Linked DNA regions of Caenorhabditis elegans. The protein of the gene in region 3 interacts with the protein of the main gene of each other region in a biochemical or structural test. Each region holds a gene or a part of one and is shown on either strand. Other genes may lie near its edges.

Evidence for each region.
Region 1: the proteins of unc-45 (region 3) and unc-54 form a complex in vitro, tested with the Caenorhabditis elegans proteins (one study listed by BioGRID).
Region 2: of the proteins of unc-45 (region 3) and ufd-2, one has a biochemical effect on the other in vitro, tested with the Caenorhabditis elegans proteins (one study listed by BioGRID).

What each region holds. Positions count from the first base shown.
Region 1 is NC_003279.8:14,858,948-14,866,085, forward strand, and holds the start of unc-54 (Myosin-4), read right to left. Parts: upstream 4,536-7,138; 5' UTR 4,504-4,535; coding exon 4,441-4,503; intron 3,879-4,440; coding exon 3,750-3,878; intron 3,702-3,749; coding exon 3,561-3,701; intron 3,080-3,560; coding exon 2,623-3,079; intron 2,543-2,622; coding exon 1,758-2,542; intron 1,706-1,757; coding exon 1-1,705. UniProt on the Caenorhabditis elegans protein: Required for muscle contraction.
Region 2 is NC_003280.10:8,059,894-8,068,007, forward strand, and holds ufd-2 (Ubiquitin conjugation factor E4 ufd-2), read left to right. Parts: upstream 1-2,847; 5' UTR 2,848-2,858; coding exon 2,859-2,915; intron 2,916-2,957; coding exon 2,958-3,284; intron 3,285-3,329; coding exon 3,330-4,251; intron 4,252-4,301; coding exon 4,302-5,211; intron 5,212-5,259; coding exon 5,260-5,614; intron 5,615-5,666; coding exon 5,667-6,050; 3' UTR 6,051-6,300; downstream 6,301-8,114. Other genes in the region: T05H10.8 (peroxiredoxin-like family protein), read left to right, coding at 281-403, 452-539, 583-832, 1,183-1,386, 1,431-1,571; pdha-1 (Pyruvate dehydrogenase E1 component subunit alpha), read left to right, coding at 6,407-6,420, 6,552-7,121, 7,201-7,777, 7,829-7,912. UniProt on the Caenorhabditis elegans protein: Acts as an E4 ubiquitin ligase mediating the assembly of polyubiquitin chains on substrates ubiquitinated by another E3 ubiquitin ligase. The elongation of preexisting ubiquitin chains preferentially targets ubiquitin 'Lys-29' and 'Lys-48' residues.
Region 3 is NC_003281.10:488,824-495,892, reverse strand, and holds the start of unc-45 (UNC-45/Cro1/She4 central domain-containing protein), read right to left. Parts: upstream 4,347-7,069; 5' UTR 4,345-4,346; coding exon 4,256-4,344; intron 4,205-4,255; coding exon 4,077-4,204; intron 4,031-4,076; coding exon 3,904-4,030; intron 3,487-3,903; exon of another isoform or gene 3,058-3,486; intron 2,325-3,057; coding exon 2,246-2,324; intron 2,177-2,245; coding exon 2,048-2,176; intron 1,539-2,047; coding exon 898-1,538; intron 1-897. Other genes in the region: F30H5.5 (Salivary lipocalin), read right to left, coding at 6,441-6,661, 6,949-7,069.

The DNA.
Region 1 (7,138 bases), on a different chromosome or scaffold from region 3:
ATTCCTTCTTCTTCAAGTTGTTCTCAAGATCGTGGCGTTGGCGTCCGCTCTCATCGATGTTCTCTTGAGCAATCTTGAGCTCTCCCTCGACCTTTCTCTTCTGCTTGTCAAGATCGGCGCGGGCTCTCTTCTCGCGCTCAAGGGAATCCTCGAGGTCATCAAGAGTCTGCTCAAGCTTGGCCTTGACCTTGTTCTGATGGTTACCCTTATCCTCTTCGGATTGGAGGTCCTCCATCAGCTTGCGGTTGATTTCTTCTTGATGCTTCTTCTCCTTGTTGAGCTTGGCAATAGCTTCATCTTGCTGTTGCATCTCATCTTGAAGGGATCTGATCTGGTGATCCTTGGATTGCTTCTCAGACTCAGCCTTGCGGAGAGACATTTCCAAGTCTTGGATCTGCTTCTTCAAAGCCTCGACCTCGGCCTCGATCTTCTTCTTAGCGCGCTGAACATCAGCGGTACGGTCTTCGTTGTCAGCGAGTTGATCGTTGAGCTCGGAGAGTTGCTTGGAGGCATCCTTTTGTTGAGCCTCAAGCTTGGCAAGTCTTTCCTCAGCATCGGAGAGTTGAGTCTTGGTGGATTCCAAGTTGGTGAAGAGAGAAGTTTTCTCTTCGACGAGCTTGGCAGAGGACTCCTCGAGCTCCTTGCGAAGCTTCTCCTCCTTGGCGAGACTGTCTTCGAGGGCCTTAACCTTGTCGTTGATCTTCTCGAGCTCCTCGGCTTCCTTTCCGGCCTTGAGCATTGGCTTGACCTTTCCGTAAAGCTTGAACCATTCCCAGGTACGGAGAGTGCACCAGGAACGGACGTTGCGCTGAACAATGAGAAGTCCGGCACGTTGTTCCATACGGCGCTTGCGGTCCTTGAGACCCAAATGCCATCTGATTTGGGATTGGAATCCGGTGAGGATGGTGGCGAGCTTCTCGTCACGGATGTCTTCAAGATGAGCAAGAACTCCAGCCTTGAAGAAGACCTTGGTGAGACCGATACGGAACATCTCCTCGCTGAGGGATCCGTCGTTGACGAGCTTGGACATGATAGCCTCGGCGCACTTCTTCTTGTCGTCATCGGACTTGGCCTCCTTGGCGGCAAGGATGGCGTAACGTTGGACGAAGTCTGGATGAAGGGTTCTGTTGGGGAATCCCTTTCTGCAAATTCTGATTCCTTCCAACACTCCGTTGCAGGTAAGCTGGTTGAGAACCAAAGCGGCATCGATCATACCAGATTGCTTCTTCTCGTTGGGGATGATACAACGGATGAAATGTGGGTGAGTCTTGTTGAGCATAGTCATCAAGTTGTTGAGAGACTCTCTGTAGAGCATAGAGACGGTCATGAAAGATCCGGACTTTCCCTTCTTCTTTCCACCGCCACCTCCCTCCTTGGCCTTAGCGGCGGCCTCTTCCTGGGTGGTGTAGTCTTGCCAGATCTCGACGAGAAGATCGTTTCCCTTGGATTGTTTCATTGCCGAGACAACGGTGTCGTTGAGGGGGTCCTTGTTCTTCTCGAGCCAGTTCAAGCAGTTGTAACGCACAGTTCCGGCGTAGTGCCGCATGGCGAAGTGAGCTTCTCCTTGCTTTCCCTTTGGTGGCTTTGGCTTCTCGAAGTTTGGATGCTTGCCAAGATGTTGATCGACAAGCTTGGAAGCGAGGGTCAAATCAGTAGCCTTTGGTACGATACACTCTTCATCAAGCATGGAGATAATACCGAGTGGCTGAAAAATAAGAATTGATCAAAATACATTTAAAATTTCAATTCAATCTTACCTTCTCAATAAGTTCGATACACGCTTGCAAATCAAGTCCGAAATCGATGAAGACCCATTGAATACCCTCACGGGCGTATTCTTCCTGTTCAAGGACGAACATGTGATGGTTGAAGAATTGTTGGAGCTTCTCGTTTACGAAGTTAATCCACAACTGCTCGAAGGAGTTGAAGTCGAAGATTTCGAAACCGGCGATATCGAGCACACCGATGAAATAATCACGATCAATACCCTTTTGATCCAGAGTGAGGTTACACTTCTTGACAAGCCAGTTGAACACACGGGAGTAGAGACCCTTGGCCATGGCTCCGACAGCCCAATTGACTTGTTCGCAGTTCTGTCCCTTGGATACCCATTCGGTTCCGACCTTGACACGTGGCTTGGTCAAAGCCTTGAGGAACTCCTCGCATCCGATTCCGTACATGTTGGATGCCTTCTCGGCCTCATCGGTACCATCTGGCTCAGCTTGCTCTTCACGTGGGCGTTGCTTGAACTTCATGTTACCCATGTGCATGTGAGCGGACATGAGGCGGTAGCAATCCTGCTTCTCGACGGCAGAGAAGTTGAGGATGTCGAAAGCTTCATCAGTAAGTTGGAACTCTTCGACGTCATCGATTCCGTCAATGATCAACTCGGCCTGGGCGACGAACCAGTAATCCTTGATTGGCAAGTCAAGAAGAAGTTCCTTCTTGAGCTCTGGACGGAAGTCAGAGTAGATTTGGTAGAAGATGTGGTAGCAACGCTCTCCTGGAGCTTGACGGATGACACGAGATTTCTCGAGCAAGTCTGCAAAATTTATAGTTTAAAACAATAGTTGCATAATTTTTATTGAGCTATGCTAGAATATAAATCAAAAAGTAACTCACAATGCTCGATATCGCAAGATGCGAGGCGTCCGTGCTTGTTGAAGTGGATACGGATGAACTTTCCGAAACGGGATGAGTTGTTGTTACGGACAGTCTTGGCGTTACCGAAGGCTTCAAGTACTGGATTGGTCTGGACGATTTGGTCCTCAAGGGTGACCTTCTTCTTATTTGGATCAACTTCAGCTCCACCTTCCTGTTGGGAGGCACCGACAGCGGCGAAGTAGCAAATAACCTTCTTGGTGTTCTCAGTCTTTCCGGCTCCAGATTCTCCGGTAATGAGCATAGACTGGTTCTCGTGGTCTTGGAGCATGTTACGGTAGGCTTCGTCAGAGACAGCGAACAAATGTGGTGGCATTTCTGTCTTTCTCTTTCCCATGAACATACGGGCGCAAGAGTCGGTGTAGATTGGGAGACGCTTGTATGGGTTGATGACAACGCAGAAAAGTCCGGAGTAGGTCTGAAATAGGAAACATTCTAGTTTCGATTTTTAAATACTGCAGGATTCAATCCCTTTGTTTAATTTTATGTTCAGTTGCATTCCCTTTAAGTTCTTCGAAATATAGACCCCTGTTACTTCTAACTTGTGCAATGAATCAAGCAGATCTTCTTCATCTTCTTTTCTTCAAACGTTTTTTCTTAGAAAAATATATCCTCACAATACCTTCTCTCTTCTTTGCCATCCCCAATGGCAGTATCTGATGCAAGGGAGCCTGTGGGGCTCCCGTCATCCACAGTGTAATGTAAGATGGTTCAGAGATTCAGAAGAGAGGCAGAGATAGCCTCATCCCACTCAATTGATGAGAGAATGGGATAGAGAGAAACATTTGAAAACGAGAAGAAAAGAAGATAGAGGGAAGGAGTTTCGGGATTTTATGGGAATTTAGAAGAAGAATATGAATGATTCTCAATGCTTAACTTTAAGTTTCAATGAAACTTACGTAGATGAGCATAGCAGCGTAACGGGAACGCAAGTTATGGAGGACAGAGGCGTCGTTGAGGAAAGACAAGTTGGACATGTCTTCGGTCTTCTCGAACTTTGGTGGATTCATTTCTTGAACCAACTCCTTCTTGAGGGTGACCTGAATCACACTACATTGAAAACCGTAATCATTAGCTTAAAAACGAACCTCATTTCCGCGAGCGGTGACGATGGTGACCTGGTCTCCCTTGGTGGCGGTGATTTCTCCGGCAAGGTATCCCTCTTCTGGATCTGGGATCCAGACGTTCTTCTTGGAGTCATAAGGCTTAGATTGATCCTGAAATTACAATAATGGTACAAAAGAGATCAGAATTCAGAAATATATCACTTCTAAAGAATACCAACTTGTGTTGAAAAATGGTCTAAACCGCTTCACACTTTAGACCCATGAATGGAATGGAATCAAAAAGTAAAATCAAGGTTAAGCTTGTGGTGTAGTCAAAATAAATGTGCCGTCTCAAAATACAGTACTACTGCAGCACAATGTGTCACAAAATTCCAAGTGCAATGCAAAAATTTAAGAAAGGAAGATTTCAATGATTTCAAGGGAAAGATGATCTTGAAGCTAAATCTATGAAAAATTAGAAAACAGAAATAAACATTGATTACAAGGATTACAAGGCAAGCTCAAATCTTCTACCTGAATTTAAAAAATCTATAAGTGTAAAATGGCAGACTTTAACTCAGTTGTATGTTAAAAATCTAGAATTTCAAAAATAAATGCTCAGTTTTGTTAAAATTAGATACTTATGGAGTACTATACGATTTACTCTATAGAAATGAGCATAACAATAAAGACAAATGAAAGAAAAATAAATAAATAAAAAATAAATACTCACCTCCAAAACCTGCTCTCTGGTACGGCGGAGATATTGCCATCCTGGGTCCTTCTCGTGCTCCATGATTTCTCGCTTCTTTCAAATGGTTTCTCTACCTCAAAACTAATGTGGTGCTCCCTTAGTCGAGGTTGATGATGCGAGTGATGAGTGCCTGCTTCTTCCTCGGCAGGAGGATGTTGGCACCCGCAAGCCACGCCCCTCTTTGGGGATTCTACGAGGTGTAAAGCTGTGTGCGGCAGCGGCAGCGGCGGGAGAGACGGGAACCCGGCTTCCCGGGAATACACGAAGCGAGAGACGCCTACGCGTAGTGGAGGGTGCCAGAGAAGATAGTGGAAGTCTCAAGAATTCCATTGGAGCACGAAGAAAAAACCAGGGATAGAGATAGATCGGGAGTTGGTAAGATCGGGAAAAATGAATTCAGAGAGTACGGTCGGTCAACTTTTTTTATAGGAAAGTGCAGAACAGTGATAAAAGGAATAAGATAGAATGTTTACATACAACCAGTGAAAATAGAATACCAGTTTGATTAATGGTTCTTAAACAGATCTTCAGCCTCCTCTTGATAATCTTCCACGGTTCACCACTAGATCTTCAGATTTTAAGCAAATCAATACATTTACGACCTAGTTAACTTGCCTTTGCATTACTCTTTTTACAGAGACCAGTGAAAACCGAAAATACTCACTGCAGTATTCTAAGCGGCAAAGCTCTAATATCAACCCTAAAATTGTTGATCTGAAATTGTTTCAGTGCAGTTTTCCTTTAATTTTTTTTGCAAAAAAATCAAGAAAATTGTTATAACAATTCTTTCAAAAAAAAAATCAAAAAAATTTTTAGACCAATTCTCCAAAAAAATCACAATTCTTTAAAAACCTCCCGGAGTGTTTACCTACACTTCCTGAAAAACTTTCAAAGTTTGCAAAAAAGCATTTAGAGCAATTATGCAGGTCTCTAAAGTAGTGGTTAAATGAGACAATTTCAGATCGATATTTTAGGGGTTGAGAGAAAAGTATTGCTGCTTAAAATTTTGCAGTGACATACCTTTCGTGACATAATCTAAAACACTTCAGATGAAACATGTCTCATTTTGAAGTTTGAGGGTAAAATGTAAAAATTTCCTTGTTAGAAATGCATTACAAATAAAGTCTGCAAAATTGATACTAACCTACTTTGGAGTCGAAGTAAGTTTTAAGACTATTTTTATTGATACGTAGAGGAGAGGGGGGCAAAAATATTTAATATTTGATTACGGTACTGCGATTCAATGCTACAGTAATAATTTTGATCAGATGGATTCGAGGTATATCATTGTGGCGGACAATCGATTTGGAGGCACCTGTAATACTTATCAATTCTACTCATTCGAACTTCAAGTTGCACCAATCAATTTTTCGAGCCTTGGTAACTACTATGAAGTTGTCGCGTTTGCTTTAAAAGGTCTCCTGATAATAGTATCTGTCTAAAAATTTACGAAAAGGCTCATAAATCATTCTCATGATAGTATGTATGTAACTGGATAGTCTTTCCGTTTGCTTTATCTTCTTCAAACATTTTCTTCAGATTTTTGTGCTTCTCCAGCAAATCAGCTTCTCTCCAAATCCCACAATCTCATACTTCATCCTGACGAAAACAATTCGCGGATGCTGTAAGACAACACGGGAATATCACGAAACCCCTAGAGACCCAGACAAAAGTAACAACTGATTCTTCGTCTCGCGCTCTCCTTGATTGCAACACTATCTCCAGGCGCCTAGGAGTTTGAAGGCATGTGGGAGCGCTTGGAGCATCCAGCAGCATTTTCTGGGTTCCACCGGGAGGAGACGAGGTTTTTTGATTGTAATAAGAGATACACAAAAGCCAAGGGTCAGTTGGAAGAAATTTCCGGGATGATAAGATAAATTACACGTTCTTTGATTTTCTGTGATATATTCTTTTAAATGTAAACCCAACTGTACAATGAACCAAACTTCCTGTATTACCCAGCCTCAGTGACGAGCCAGTTTAAGCTCAACAGATTTGACTAAGTGGCAGGTGGAAAAATTTCACTAGTGGCTGTCGCAGTTTAACCATATTTTCTTTAGTACTGGTTACCGAACCATTTTTAGATTCGTTAACATATTCACATTTGAGCGGTGACTTCATAAATTCCTCTATATTTTGATACTTCTACAACTTAAAAAACAACACAAAAACACACTGCACGATTGCTTCAATTCTTATATCCGTAACTCTTCTTTCTTTTTGCCACCGACATTTCTTCCCCTCCAAGTCTTGTGTAATACGGAATGGAGAAGAAGAAGAGGAAGCATCGGAAAACGAAATGATGACAACACACACACACACACACATACAACACTGATATTTAACTGAGTCGATCGAAGGGTTTATTCGGTAATTATATCAAGTATTTTTGTTTTTCATTTTACGATGTTTTTATAAAGCGAAAAATGAAATTTTTCAAATAAATGCCCTATATGCCATTCAAAAAATATCTAAAGAAGATGATAATTTTAACAAGCGGACTTACATTGGCACATAATGTTTTATTATTCAAAAATGTGTTTTTCAACATACTTTTAATTTTCTGTTAGCATGGGAAACGAGAACGTATGTAATGCGAGTTGCAAAAGTTAAATAGCTCTTGAAAAATGGTGCTATCGAAATGGAGCGCATTTTTTCAGATAGTCTTCTGAAGCAT
Region 2 (8,114 bases), on a different chromosome or scaffold from region 3:
GAATGGGTTTCTGATATAAAACATAATTTATCTTATTGTTTGGAAAGTTATCAATTTCTCAGGAATTTTTTAATTTTACGAATTTCAAATTTATAGAACAGATGTTTTTGAAAAGATTTTTTGGAATGTTTTGATGAAAAACTATAATTTGATCTCTGAATACAAAAATCTGTAGCTATAAAAGAGGATCAGAATAAATGTTCAAATGAAAAATTCTCATAATTTTTATACCTCACAATTTGGTTCAAAATTCTATAAATTAAAAAAAATGAATTTCCAGAAGCTTCGGGTAAAGCACTACGAGAGTCGTTTGAAGCTTGGGACATCTTTCTTCGTGAAATTGATGATGAACTGGAAAAGACGCTTGGACCAGTCAAAAGTGCAGTTACCACTCTTCCAGAAGGTACTCCTTATTGTATTTCAAAATGTATTATTTTGATTTTTCTTTCAGATTCTGGAATTCTCGGACTTCAAAGCAAAACTATTTCTTATTATGTTACAGGAAGTGCTTTTGATTGTGTGCTCATTATTGTAGTTCGGTTTGTTTTTCTGATTTTCCAAATAAAAATGGTTAAACTTCAGAGCATTCAACAGGCCAGAAGTTAATGAGCATATTTTGGGATTATATAACAGAATTGATGAGTTAAGGAAACTAAGATGTGATGTATTCTTATTGACAAAGGGACCACCAATTGGATCAAGTGGTGGTGCATACATTAAGCTTATTGGAGTTCCTTTTCGTAAATTATATGATATGAATGAGGCTGAAGAACAATTAAAAATGAATAGAAAGTCTGCACTGGAATATAATGGATGGAGAACGCTTTGCAAGGTAAGAGTTATGACTTATTTTCATTATCTTCATAAAAGGGGACAAAAGGTATTTTATCTAACTTCCTTTTTGAACAAAAAATATGAATAAATTCATGAATTTGGCAAAAATATAATAAATAATGAAAGAAAAAAAAATATGGTCCAAAGTTTTCTTATCCAACTTTGAAACATTCACATCAAAATTTCAAGCTTCAAGATCAAGATTGGAAAAGAGTTTGTTGAAAGTAACAGTTTGTCGGAAATTCAAACAAATTTTTATTCTTTGGCGAACGTTGAGCAAAAAAGTTGATATCAAATTGCAACGTGGGAAGGATAAGCAATCATTGTGTATAAATTGGAAATTTTCAGGTTGTGGAAGCCTCTCTCGTCGAAGGAGATTCAATTGTTGCGAAAGAAGCATCAAGCTCAGAAGACTCAGTTTCTTACATTTCTCAAAAAGGTGGTACTGTACTTGTGGATAAATCAGGAGAAATTCTTTACAAGCACATTGAAGACGATAAATCAGATTCATGGCCAGATATTGATGAAATAGTAAAACTGGTTGAAGCAAGGGTATGCTTTTTTATTTTTAAAACTCTCTTAACAAACTTCTCCAGAACGCCAAATACTTGGAGAGCACTAATAATTCTACAATATCAATTCCGAAAGGTGGAAATCTGGCAAAAGTGAATTCGGAAATTTCTGTAACAAAGGAACTGGCGACGGACAAAAAGAAACCGTGTTGCGTAATTAGTTAAATATCTAGACTACATTTACATTAAAACCATACATGTTATCTTGGCTGATCTCATTATTAATTCATTATTTTAATATTAGATTATTTAACTATGAAATAACATAAACATTAATTTATTTTCAATTTGTTCCAATGTGGAACTTCCAAAAAAAAAACACTCGAATTTAATGTGGTTGTTATTTTACAGTGAAAAAAGATGTTCGGATGCTTTGATTTCTTTTGGTTGAAGATTTTCAGACTCGTTTATTAAACTTTTACTGTATTCTTGGAATAAAAAAGTTCAATTTATTTTCAATTTTCAATCAATTTAAAAATCTATCATCTGAAGAATAAAACACAACACTATTACATAGAAGTTTCAAGGCAAACCATATATGGCCATATGAATTTTTTTGATCGTTTCAATAGTTTTCTAAAAGTACAATAATCCACGGTAATCCTACAGTACCCTGGCCATATCCCGGAATATTTACGATTGCATCAGAGTAGCAACAAACGTGTGTATTGATTGATTTTTTATCGTATTGAAGGACATCTGCTGGTGGACCAGGTACCCGCCTATAAATGTCTAGAATTGGGTGAGTCTCACAATGACGTCCCTCGGGTCTCAATTGTACACAATCGATTGTTGAGTTGCGCTACTGTTTTCCTCTTGAAACTATAGTTAACTAAACGATTTTTATTGAAAGTGAGGTTTATTCTCGTTTAAAAAAAACAATATTTATTAAAGAATAAAATTTTGTAAAATCAAAAATGTGCGTTCCATCCACAGTCTCGTTCATTTATATACTTTTTTGTTGCTTAATTTATCTGCCCCTTCAAATTCTTATTGCTCTAAAAATATTCAAATTAAGTGGTGTCTGAAAATAGAATCATAAAGATACAATATTTAACACTCGTTCTTCCGAATTCAGTTTTCTACCGATGTTTCTCTCCTGCAAAAATGTGGTGTCTCGGTAGTGCAGCAAACGCGCTCCACTGCATGTTCATTGAGAGGCCGAAATGTCAGCGTCTTTGCAGCTGCATTGCTCCTTCGATTTTTCTATCTCTTGCGCGCGCGGTGCAAATGTCTTCCTACAGTTTTTGCTCTCGAAAATAATTTTATGTTTTCCTCTATACACAATTCTAGTCCAATATTGTTTTCATACAATCCTCTGCGTTTAATTTTTCCGTCTCATAAATGTTCCCATTACCGTAAAATATTTGTTATCAGACCTCTCACCATTCTCTTTATCGTTACTCTACTTATCAAAATCACGTGATCATCACGAATTTCCAGAAATCGTAGATGATTGAAGACGAGAAAGCAGGCTTGCAGCCGATGGACATAAGTGATGCTTCTGTGGTGCGTTTTTGCCTGACATTTTATATACTCATAGGCGATTAGTTCTTTTTTCAGGCAGATGTTGAAAGCAAAGACTTCCTCACAAGTCTCTTTGACTGTGAAGGTAAATCAGATGACAGAATGCTTCGTTACGCCGATGCGATAATCGATGTTCAAAATCTGAATTTTGATGTTTCTCCTCAGTGTCTGCAATCGAACATTGCCGAAATAATCACAAAGTTTGTACTTTTATCTCAAGATGGATCAAGAAGGGGGCTGTCAAGATCGTTCAATTTCATCGACCCTGATATCATTGCTGGATGTCGTGAAGAAGACGCCATCGAGTTTCTCTTAATCAATTTTGTTCGTTGCCATCATGAGCTTGGAAAGGTACTCTATCTAATATAGTTCTATTTTTAATTTAACAATTTTCAGAGCGGTACTTCAAATTGCTACAAGAAAACTCTCGAATCTACCAGGAAAGCAGTTTTCTCAGTTTTTGTGATGATACAGAGAGGCTACTTGGAGAGCCAACTTCGCAGCCAACATGCTAGTTTGGTGTTCACAAAAAGACTTCTGGAGGATACGGTGTCAAATGTTTTTCTAAGAACATTGGTTGAATACCTTGCAAGTACAGATGAATGCGATGAAGACGCTATTACAGAAACATTTAATCCAATTTTCGGGATTTTGCGGAGCGGAATTATTTGTCAACGCTTTGAAGACAATAAGGACGAAATTGTTCGTCAGATCCTTCGTGTGATGAACTTGCTTCTCAGTATCAGACTCCCTTCAAACGGACCTCGCCCACTGAGTAACCTACTTGTTAATCGAGAAGATTTTCTCCCAACGCCGTCCGAAAAAATACAAGGACGCGAGTTTGGTTTAATGTCCTTCCTAGGACCGTTCTTTTCGTACGGCCTCGAATCATCAGCAAGGCGTCCAAATCATCGAGTTTTTGTGGATTGTGAAGAAGATGCAAGAAAATATGATGGATCAGTCAACACTGAGCAGAAACTGTATTTCCAAAGAATGGATCCAATTCGAACTATGCTTCATCAATTGATGCTTCCGCTTGCTTCGGATCAAGGAAGTCGCAACAAAACTCTAAGATGGATTGCCACCATCATAAGCACCAATGACATTCGCACTCGTTCACATTATGATCCTTCAGATGTCTTGTGTGATCATTATATGACAAATTTTTTGTCCGTGATGTACATGTTTTCCGAGAAAATCGACTTGTCCAAAATTATCGTAGATTATCCGTTTTTACCGAGTTCGCTTATAAATATTTCCAAGGAGACTCGTCTCAAAATGGACGAATCAGGAGCAGTCGCTTTTGCTAGCCAATTCGGTAAGTTTCATTTTTCTTTCTCAAAAAATTAACTTGTTTTCTTTTTCCAGCAGATCGTCCAGATGAATATCATTTCTCTACAGTCTGCTTCTTCCTGACAATTGCAGCACAGAGGCTCGTTATTCCTCCATTGATGAATCAAATAAGTGAATACTCTCGACACCTTAAGGAGCTCAAGCATAAGATCAATGCGCTCAAAGAAAAACTAAATACTGTGTCAGGATTCGAGAGAGCTGAGGTGGAAAAGAAGTTGAACTATGAGACTGAACACTGGAAGCTCATGTCTCGTCATCTTTTATGTGTTAAGACACAAGCTCAAGATCCTGCATTAATGGCATCTTCTATGGATTTTGTCGATAAGCAGATGAAATTCATTTTGAATTTGCTTTGTGATAACTTGGATTTGCTCGGAGACGACAGTCAACTTCCAACTGAAGTATCACAAATGTTTTGTGCGCTCCCAGAATATTTTCTAGAGGATGCTCTCGATTTTTACATATTCGCTATTTCCAATGGAATGAAACTGCTCATGGAGAGAAATGCGGATTGGATTTCCCGTCTGACGGTCCTTTTCACACAATATCACTACATCAAAAGCCCATTTCTCGTTTCCAAACTGGTGAGAGTGCTGTCTTCTATTCAACCTCCATTATGGTTCAACGTGGTCAGACTTCGAATGGCACAAGAAAATTTATTGATGTGCATGATAAAGTTCTACTCGGATTTCGAAGACAATGGTGACTTTTATGAAAAGTTTAACGTTCGTGGAAATATCCAGTACATGTTGGAAAAAATGGAGGAAGATATGTTCTACAAAGGAAAGTTTATGGACATGGCAAGAGAATGCGGAGCAGAGTTCATTCGGTTTGTCAATATGGTGATTAACGATGCAACATGGTGTATAGATGAGAGCTTGTCTGGTTTGAAGAGTATCCATGATGTTGAGAAAAAGATGGCGAAGTAAGACTATTTCGAATGATAACTTAAAAATATAAATTTTATTTTCAGCAAAGTCGAATGGGACAACACAGATCAAGAAATCCGTAATCAGGATCTCGGCGTGTACGAGGAGGCAAAACGTAAAGTGAAGGGATGGCTTGGAACAGCCAAAAGTAATCTTAAATTGCTACTATCGATTACCGTAAACTCACCCGAACCTTTCCGTACTCCGGTTCTCGGCGAAAGACTTGCTGCAATGTTGAATCACAATTTATCGCAACTCATTGGTAGCAAGGCCTCCGAGTTGAAAGTCAAGGATCCAAGAAGTTATGGATGGGAACCACGGGAGTTTGTATCGTTGCTGATCTCAATCTATTTAAAGCTGAATATGCCTGCATTTGTTAAATACATAGCATACGACGAGGTTGGTTAACACATTTGTTTATTCAAAGAGATTTATTTTAATTATTTTTCAGCGTACCTACAGTCCTGAATTCTTCCATAATGCGATTGAATGCATGAGAAAGAATAGTATTGTTGGATTCAGTCAACTCGAAAGTTTCGAACATTTGGCCGAAGATGTTAAAAAAGAGTATGAGGCAAAAGCTGAGCTTGAAGAAGAGTATGATGATGTACCAGAAGAGTTCAAGGATCCTATTATGGATGCAATTATGGTTGATCCTGTCAAATTGCCATCAGGACACGTGATGGATCGTGCAGTCATCGAGAGGCATCTTCTCAGTACACCCAATAATCCGTTTAATCGTGCTCCCTTGTCGCACAATGAGCTTTCTCCCGATTCTGAGTTGAAGGCAAAGATTCAGGAATGGATTTGCCAGAAAAGAAATTCAAAGAAATAATTTTCTATCATATTCTATTGTTACCCAATTTTGTATTTATTGTACTTGACCATTGCACATGTGCAAAATGTCTGTAAATTTCACGCGTTCCTTTCATTTTATAAGTTTTTCTGGTCTCTCAATGGTCTAATCTTTCGGTTTCGGTTTCATTTTCTGCATGGATTCCTTAAAGTTGGTATTCTTGCCCTCTTTCATCAAACCTAAAAAACACGAGTAGTGCCTTGAATGTGAATAAATTTATACTAATTTACTTATTTTCTAAATTTTGGCTTCTATTGCGGTCTCCGATCCGCATACTTATATTTTTATTCTTTGTGAATTTCTTCACATATTCTGATTTTAGCCTTGAACCTGGAATGACTAAATTTCTGTAGGTTTATAACGAACGGTGTCGTATTGTTTTGTGATTTGTTACATGTCAATAACTTATAATATTTATACGTTCCCAGTCATCCCAAATCCGATTAATTTTTATTTTTGAAATATATTTACTGCTTTCAGTAGCTTGGTACATCTGGAACGTATTTGGTCGACGGCAATGTCTTTATTCGCGAGACAACTTCAATCCTTGACTGCCAGTGGAATCCGCACACAGCAAGTTCGTCTTGCGAGCACGGAAGTATCATTCCACACAAAGCCATGCAAACTTCATAAACTTGACAATGGACCAAACACCTCTGTCACCTTGAACAGAGAAGATGCTCTCAAGTACTACCGTGACATGCAGGTCATTCGTCGCATGGAGTCTGCTGCTGGAAACTTGTACAAGGAGAAGAAAATCCGCGGTTTCTGTCATCTCTACTCTGGTCAAGAAGCTTGTGCCGTCGGAATGAAGGCTGCAATGACAGAAGGAGATGCCGTCATCACTGCTTACCGTTGTCACGGATGGACCTGGCTTCTTGGAGCTACCGTAACCGAGGTTCTTGCTGAATTGACCGGTAGAGTTGCCGGAAATGTTCACGGAAAAGGAGGATCCATGCATATGTACACAAAGAATTTCTATGGAGGAAACGGAATTGTTGGAGCACAACAGCCACTTGGAGCTGGAGTTGCATTGGCCATGAAATACCGGTATGTTAACAAATTTTGATGTATTTTTTTACGAGAACAACTCATATTTTTTCATCTAAATATTTTATTTTATTTTCAGTGAACAAAAGAATGTATGTGTTACTTTGTATGGTGATGGTGCCGCTAATCAAGGACAACTTTTCGAGGCGACTAACATGGCTAAACTTTGGGATCTTCCTGTTCTGTTCGTTTGCGAAAACAATGGATTCGGAATGGGAACTACTGCTGAACGTTCATCTGCTTCTACCGAGTATTATACTAGAGGAGACTATGTTCCTGGAATCTGGGTTGATGGTATGGACATTCTCGCTGTTCGCGAGGCTACCAAGTGGGCTAAGGAATATTGTGACAGTGGTAAAGGACCACTTATGATGGAAATGGCCACCTATAGATACCATGGACACTCTATGTCTGACCCAGGAACCAGCTACCGTACCCGTGAAGAGATTCAAGAAGTTCGTAAAACAAGAGACCCAATTACTGGATTCAAGGACCGTATCATTACATCTTCATTGGCCACAGAGGAAGAACTTAAGGCTATTGACAAGGAAGTTCGCAAAGAGGTCGATGAAGCGTTGAAGATTGCTACATCAGACGGTGTTCTCCCACCAGAAGCTCTCTACGCCGATATTTATCACAACACCCCAGCTCAAGAGGTAAGTAATAACATTCATTATTTTTTCGTCAATTATTGTTCACATTTTCAGATTCGCGGAGCCACTATTGATGAAACTATCGTCCAGCCATTCAAAACTTCTGCTGATGTACTGAAGTCTATTGGAAGAGCTTAAACGACACGAATTTTCTATGCAACATTGACTGGCAAAAATTTATAATAATTCTTACGAAATTAAGTTTTTAGTGCTTTTATATAGTTTCGGTGACTGTTTTCTTCCGATGAGTTCATTTCTAGTTTCTAGTTGTTCACTTTTCTTCTCGATTTTCAATTGCATAAATCACATTTTCTCACCGTTAATCATTCATGGTCAAACT
Region 3 (7,069 bases):
ATTTTTTTATAGTTTTTTTTGTTGATATTTTAGAAAAATATCCCCAATTTTATACTTTACTCAATTTTTTGAGCATTTTTTTCTTTTTTTTTACAATTTTCAAAATATTTATTTAAAAAAATAATTTTTTCTGATATTTTGTTTTTGAATCAGTCAAAACATCGAAAAAATTGCGATTTTTCGGATTTCGATTTGAGAAAAAATTGTCAAAATCTTTGTTTTTGCTTTTTTGAGTTCAAAATCTTAAAAATTTCAAGTTTTTCGAATAAAAACAATTTTTTTTCGATTTTTCGAGTTCAATAATCTAAAAAATTATGTTTTCCGAATCAATCATTTTTTCCGATTTCCCATTTTTCCTTTTCAGTTATTAAATTTTTTTCGATTTTTTCTCGAGCTTCCAAGAATTTTTTAAAAAAACTTATATTTTTCTTTACTTTCTAATTTCGGGGAAAATAAAAATGTTGTAAATTTTCTTCTTTTGAATGTTTGTCGATTTAAAGTTTTTTAAATAGTTTTTTTCAAAAATCGAAAATTTTAGTATTTTTTTCTAGTTTTTTTTTTTAAGTTTTTTGTTGATATTTTAGAAAAAATCCACAATTTTTTTCTTTTTTTAAAACCATTTTTAAAATATTTATTTTTTAAAAATCTATTTTTGAATAGTAAAAATCAAAACAAAATTCAATTTTTTAAATTTAAAAAATCCGATTTTTCAGATTTCGATTCGAGGAAAAATTATTTTTTTATAATTTTTTTTCGCTTTTTCAAATTCAAAAATTTAAAAATTTAAACGTTTTTCGAATTAATTTTTTTTTGTTGCTTTTTCCAGTTCAAAAATCTAACAATTATTAAGTTTTTCGAATCAAAAAACGTTTTTTTTCCGATTTCCTTGTTCCGTACTTAAAGAACATATCGACTTTCTCCTTAAAAATAGTCCGTTTCGTATCAAAAACCATATCCTCCTCTAATCTCTGCAAACAAATTGCCACGTGTTGCCGAGTCTCCGCAGAAACCGGATATTCACACAGTTCGGGTATCTGACTTGCCACGTCAAGCAACGCGAGCAATCCACGTTCTTCCACAAACTTCCACGACCATCCACGTGGAATTCCACCGTCCATGTGCATCAGATTTTTCAGGAATAAATCGATGCACGTCTCACGCTGAACTGCACCAACTTTCGGGTCCTGAAGCATCTCTTGAAGCTCCAAGAGCACACGAATTATCCAGATTTTATTGGCTTCTGCCACCTCTGGATCCGGCTTCATCTCCTTTTGCCGATCCATTTTAGCCATTGCATTGAAGACACGTTGCACCAGAATTCCAGTGGCATCCACAAAGTCTTTTGTGGATTTTTTGCACATTAGCCGGCACACAAAACGGACGGATTTTGGGCCATCTGGGTCGTGCATAGCTAGGAATTTCATGCATCTGACGCTATTTTTGATGGTCTCGTCGAGAATTCGGATTGCGGTTACGGTAACCTCCTCGTTTTCCGATGCGTCGTTGATTAGGTTCAGGACGAATGGAACAAGTGCGCCCTGGAAATATGGAAAAATTAGAATTTTTTTTTTGGGTATTTTTGCAGGAAAATATTCAAATTCGGGATACTTTGATAAAATTAAAATTTTGAAAAATAATTTTTTTTAAACTGATTTTTTAAAAGCTAAAAAGTTGAATTTTCAAATGTTTCTACAAAATCGGAAAATTGGCAAAAATTAAGGTTTTCTCGTTGTAGCAAAATAAATTTTAAAAATCTACAAAAAATTACAATTTTCAGTTTAAAAAAATTTCTTTAAAAAAATTAAAATTGAACTTTCGACAATTAAATTTAAGGAATATCGGAAAAATTTAGATAAAAACTGCAAAATTTTTCGAAAAACAATCTGAAAATTGCTCTGAAAATCTAGAAAATTCAGTTTTTTTTTGCATTTTTTTTTCAAATATACGGTATATTTTTCAATTTATTTCCATTTTTTAAATTTTTTTTTAAGTTCCATTAAATTTTCCCAGTAAATGTAGATTTTTCGTCCAGCTTCCAAAACTATACCTGATTCCAAACTCCTGTTGCTCCGGATTCAGATTCTCTGCACAAAACCAACAAGTTGTTCAACGCAGTCATTTTCTGTTCGGTGTCCTTCGCCTCACCACGGAACGCTAGCTTTTCCATGTCAGTTACCTGAGAAAATTTCGGGGTTTTTCAATGAAAATTCATTTAAAATTCGTGGTTTCAGGTCACAAAACCAACCTTATTAGCCAGTGAAGTGGTCTGCTTAATCTTATCATTGTTGGCTTTTACGAGACGCTGAAGAACTTCAACAATTCCTCTGAAAAATAGAAATTTGAGTGAAATTATTGAATTTTTAAGTGCTTAAAAGTGGAATTGTGAGAAAATCTTGGGTCTGCTAAATATTTAGCATACCCAACTTTGGTCTGCTAAATATTTAGCATACCCATCTTTGGTCTGCTAAATATTTAGCATACCTATCTTTGGTCTGCTAAATATTTTTCTTTGGGTCTGCTAAATATTTAGCATACCCAACTTTGGTCTGCTAATTATTTAGCATACCCATCTTTGGTCTGCTAAATATTTAGCATATCCATCTTTGGTCTGCTAAATATTTAGCATACCTATCTTTGGTCTGCTAAATATTTTTCTTTGGGTCTGCTAATTATTTAGCATACCCATCTTTGGTCTGCTAAATATTTAGCATATCCATCTTTGGTCTGCTAAATATTTAGCATACCTATCTTTGGTCTGCTAAATATTTTTCCTTGGGTCTGCTAAATGTTTAGCATACCTATCTTTGGTCTGCTAAATATTTTTCCTTGGGTCTGCTAAATATTTAGCATACCCATCTTTGGTCTGCTAAATATTTTTCCTTGGGTCTGCTAAATATTTAGCATACCCAACTTTGGTCTGCTAATTATTTAGCATACCCATCTTTGGTCTGCTAAATATTTAGCATACCCAACTTTGGTCTGCTAAATATTTAGCATACCCAACTTTGGTCTGCTAATTATTTAGCATACCCAACTTTGGTCTGCTAAATATTTTTCTTTGGGTCTGCTAATTATTTAGCATACCCATCTTTGGTCTGCTAATTATTTAGCATACCCATCTTTGGTCTGCTAAATATTTAGCATATCCATCTTTGGTCTGCTAAATATTTAGCATACCTATCTTTGGTCTGCTAAATATTTTTCCTTGGGTCTGCTAAATATTTAGCATACCCACCTTGGGTCTGCTAAATATTTAGCATACCCTTCTTTGGTCTGCTAAATATTTAGCATACCTATCTTTGGTCTGCTAAGTATTTAGCATACCTATCTTTGGTCTGCTAAATATTTTTCCTTGGGTCTGCTAAATATTTAGCATACCCAACCTCCTCAAATTTTGAAAAAAAAATTTTTTCGCTGATTTTTTAGCTGCAAATTTGAAATTTCCTACGTTTTTCTTCAAGATAAATTTTTAAACATGTTTTAGTGGATTTTTCAGTTTCATTTTGCATATTTTTTCACAGAAAAAAGTGAGAAAATTACAAATTTAAAACTAAATATTTAGAAAATTTATAAATGTTGGCATTTTAAACAAAAATTGTGAGTTTCTGTAGATTTTTAAAAGTTATTTTGCTATTTTCGATGAGAAAACCTTGATTTTTGTCAATTTTTCTATTGGCATGCTATATTTCGGAGAGAAACGTCTGAAAATTCTAATAATTTTTAGCTTTAAAAATCAGTTTCGGGAGGTTGGGTCTGCTAAATATTTAGCAGACCCAAAATTTGCAACTTTTGCATTTTTCACTGAAATTTGGTCATAAAAACTTTGAAATATAACTGGAAAGTGCCAGAAAAAATTATTTTTCTTTTAATTTTCATCGGTTTTCGCCTAGTTTTTCCACGCACTTATCATTTGGCGAGAGCCTCAGAGCCTCTTTTGCGTCTTGAAAAGCTGGCCCAACATTTCCAAGCTGTTCACGAGCCAGCGATCGTCTGAAGAGAGCTTTTACATCGGCCCCGTCGAATTCCAGAGCTGTAAATTTAGGTTTTTCAGCAAATTTTCCAGGTTTTTTGTAAACCTTTCGTGCAATCCGATTGTGCTCCTTCAAAATCGTCTCTTTTCAGCCGAGCCATTGCTCGATTTCTGTACAAAACCGGCCGAAGAGCCTTGTCTTCGTCAGTGGTGAGTTGGAGAGCTTCAGTGTATCTGGAAATCAGTTTAATTTCAGTTTTCCACTGAAATTTCAGAAAAACCAACAATTCATCAGCTTTTATATAATCCTGATCCTTAACTGCAGCATTTCCCTCGTCGCGGATCTCCTCCGCAGTCTGTACTCGAGCAACCATTGCTGAAAACCAAAAAAAAAAAACTATAAAATCATTATTTTTGTCAGGAGATACTATTAATTCGACGGATAAAAGAGGAAAAATCGACAAAAATGGTGTAAAACTGATTAAAATATCATTTTTGAAACTAATTTTCAAGAAAAATGCACTTAAAAGCTGTTTTTATTGAGTTTTAGAGTAATTTTCCCGAAAAGTTTCCCGCAAAAAAAAATTAACAAAAAAGGAAAAATGCAAGCGCGCTCCACCGGCACGTGTTAGAGAGTGTGAAGCGCAGACTATTTTTTGGAGGGATTTCAAATTTAATTTTTATGAAAACTTTGATTTTAAAGCTAAAACTAACGAATTTTGGAGATGTATAACATCCTAAAATTGACTTTCTTTTCTTTTTTTTTGAAATAAAAATTTTCACTGCAAGAAAATTTGTTAATGTCCTGGAAAAATGAATGAAGAATAACGGTAAAAAATCCAGTTGCCGCGGGAGCTCCGCCCAGGTGCTCTGGAGCTTTCGAAAAGCTCCCAGGCGGGAGAGATATCCTAGGGAATAGAAGAGAAATAGAGATAACGAGTGGGAAAAGTTCGGGAAAAGTCGAAAATATGTGGGGTTTCTGGAAAAATCCGAATTTATATAGTAAAAAAAATATATTTTTAGGTTTTTTTCAGGGGATTAGAGGATTTCAGAGAAAAAACGGAATTTGAGTGGATTTAAACAAAGGAAATCATCATTTCAGGATAAACTCAATATCCCAAATGGGTCTGCTAAATATTTAGCAGACCAAAGTTGGGTATGCTAAATATTTAGCAGACCAAAGTTGGGTATGCTAAATATTTAGCAGACCAAAGTTGGGTATGATAAATATTTAGCAGACCCATAAAACATCGTTTCAGATTTTCGTCATGAAAATAATTATATGGGCAACCACAAGGAAAATTTTTTCTCAAAAACTACGGCACTCGGATTTCTCAAAAACTACGGCACGAACCGATAAATTTTCTTGAAATCAGAAAAACGTGTGCCTTTAAGGAGTACTGTAGTCGTCAACTCCTTCAAAATTTCTGGTATATTTAAATATATTTTTTCACGTGGAATACTAGAGTTTCTAAATAAATATGTACTGCCGTGAGGCTCTAGTGCTATACCCGGCGGCTATGGGTCGGCTGAAATATTTCTGGAATTTTTGATATTTTTTTTTCGGAAAAAATCAAAATAAAAATTTCATAGTATTTACATTAAAATAAATTATATAAATTCAAAAAAAGGACCTAAAATTCATAAAAAACCTAGAAATTCTTAGGTTTACTAAACCCACTAAACCCGAACTTTATGCAAAAATCGATGAAAAACGAATAGAAACGTCTGTTCAGCGGAAAGGGCAGTGTAGTAGTGTCCGGCCCCCGACGGATAGTGTAAAATTACGGCGGAATCCGCAGATCCTCTCCGGTGGTGGGAGCCCTTGCTGTTTGAATAATCTGTCTGCGTCTCTCTTCAGATCTTATAACTTTTTGTGTGCATGCACTGTGAGCAAATCATGTGAAGATTTCCTATAACTTGAGACTGTCTTGGGGTGGAAAATGGGGGTAAAATAATAATGCACAAAGGGGGTCTCGTAGTACAATTCGAAAGGGAGAAAAGGAGGAAGCAATGAAGGAGGAAGCAATGAAATGAGTCCCGCTTATTTCCTTTCGATGTTCGAAAAAACAAACATAATTCATTAGAAGACCAGCCACTGAACCAGAGCGAACTCCATGAATTTGAATTTCGTGCAAAATTTTTAGAAAAAAGAAATTTCAAATAACTCATATTTGAACTTCTAAATAGAAAAAAAAAATTGTTTAAATATTTTGAAAAAAAAAAATTTAAATTCGAGTTTCCCGCCAAATTTATATGAAAAGTTAAAGTTTGTCTAGATTTTTAGCATATTGTAAACTTTTTAAATAGAAATTCGAATTTCCCGCCAATTTTTTCTCGAAAGCCTGTGATTTTAATTTCTCAGCTAATGAGAATTCATATCTTACAAGGTTTTGCAGCCACGTTCAATTTGTTAAAAATTTATTCAAAACCAAGTTCCCCGAAAAATAATTATTCAAAAAAATAAAAATTATGTGAAATTAAACGCAGTCCATCCGGTGGAACTTTCGCTACTTTTTCTCAAAGTCACATACAAATCCATTGTTCGTTCGGGTTTCTTCATCAAAATCTTAGTGTCAATAAATTGGGAGTACGGTGGGTTACGTCCGTTGAAGAATTCCGCGTAAAGTGGTACGATACTGTCATAGCTGCCCCATACCAGCATCACAGTGTTGATATTGATTTTTGGATCTGGAATTTTGGATCTGGCTGATTTATAATTTTTCAGAACGGTAGGTTTTCTACAGTAAGCACTTCAGTATTCGTAATTTCTTTTGTACTCCTACAGTACACTCATGTATGAAGTTACTACACTGTACACACACATACCACACGTTACAGTAGTCATTACAGTGATTCTCTAATCCCTCACTTCTAGAATATACCAACAGTCTTTAGTGCTTTAAATCGCACAAGTCCATTTCAGCCTAAAGTGGTACGGTACCGTACTCCTAACCGTATGGAACAACGCAACTTACTGTTATAGTCCAGAGTAAAAAGTTGCCGAGTCGCCGTTTCATTCATTGACCGTGTCGCAACTTGGATAGCTTTTATATGAGCATTGGTGATTTCCAGTATTTCTGCATCACTAGTTGCTTT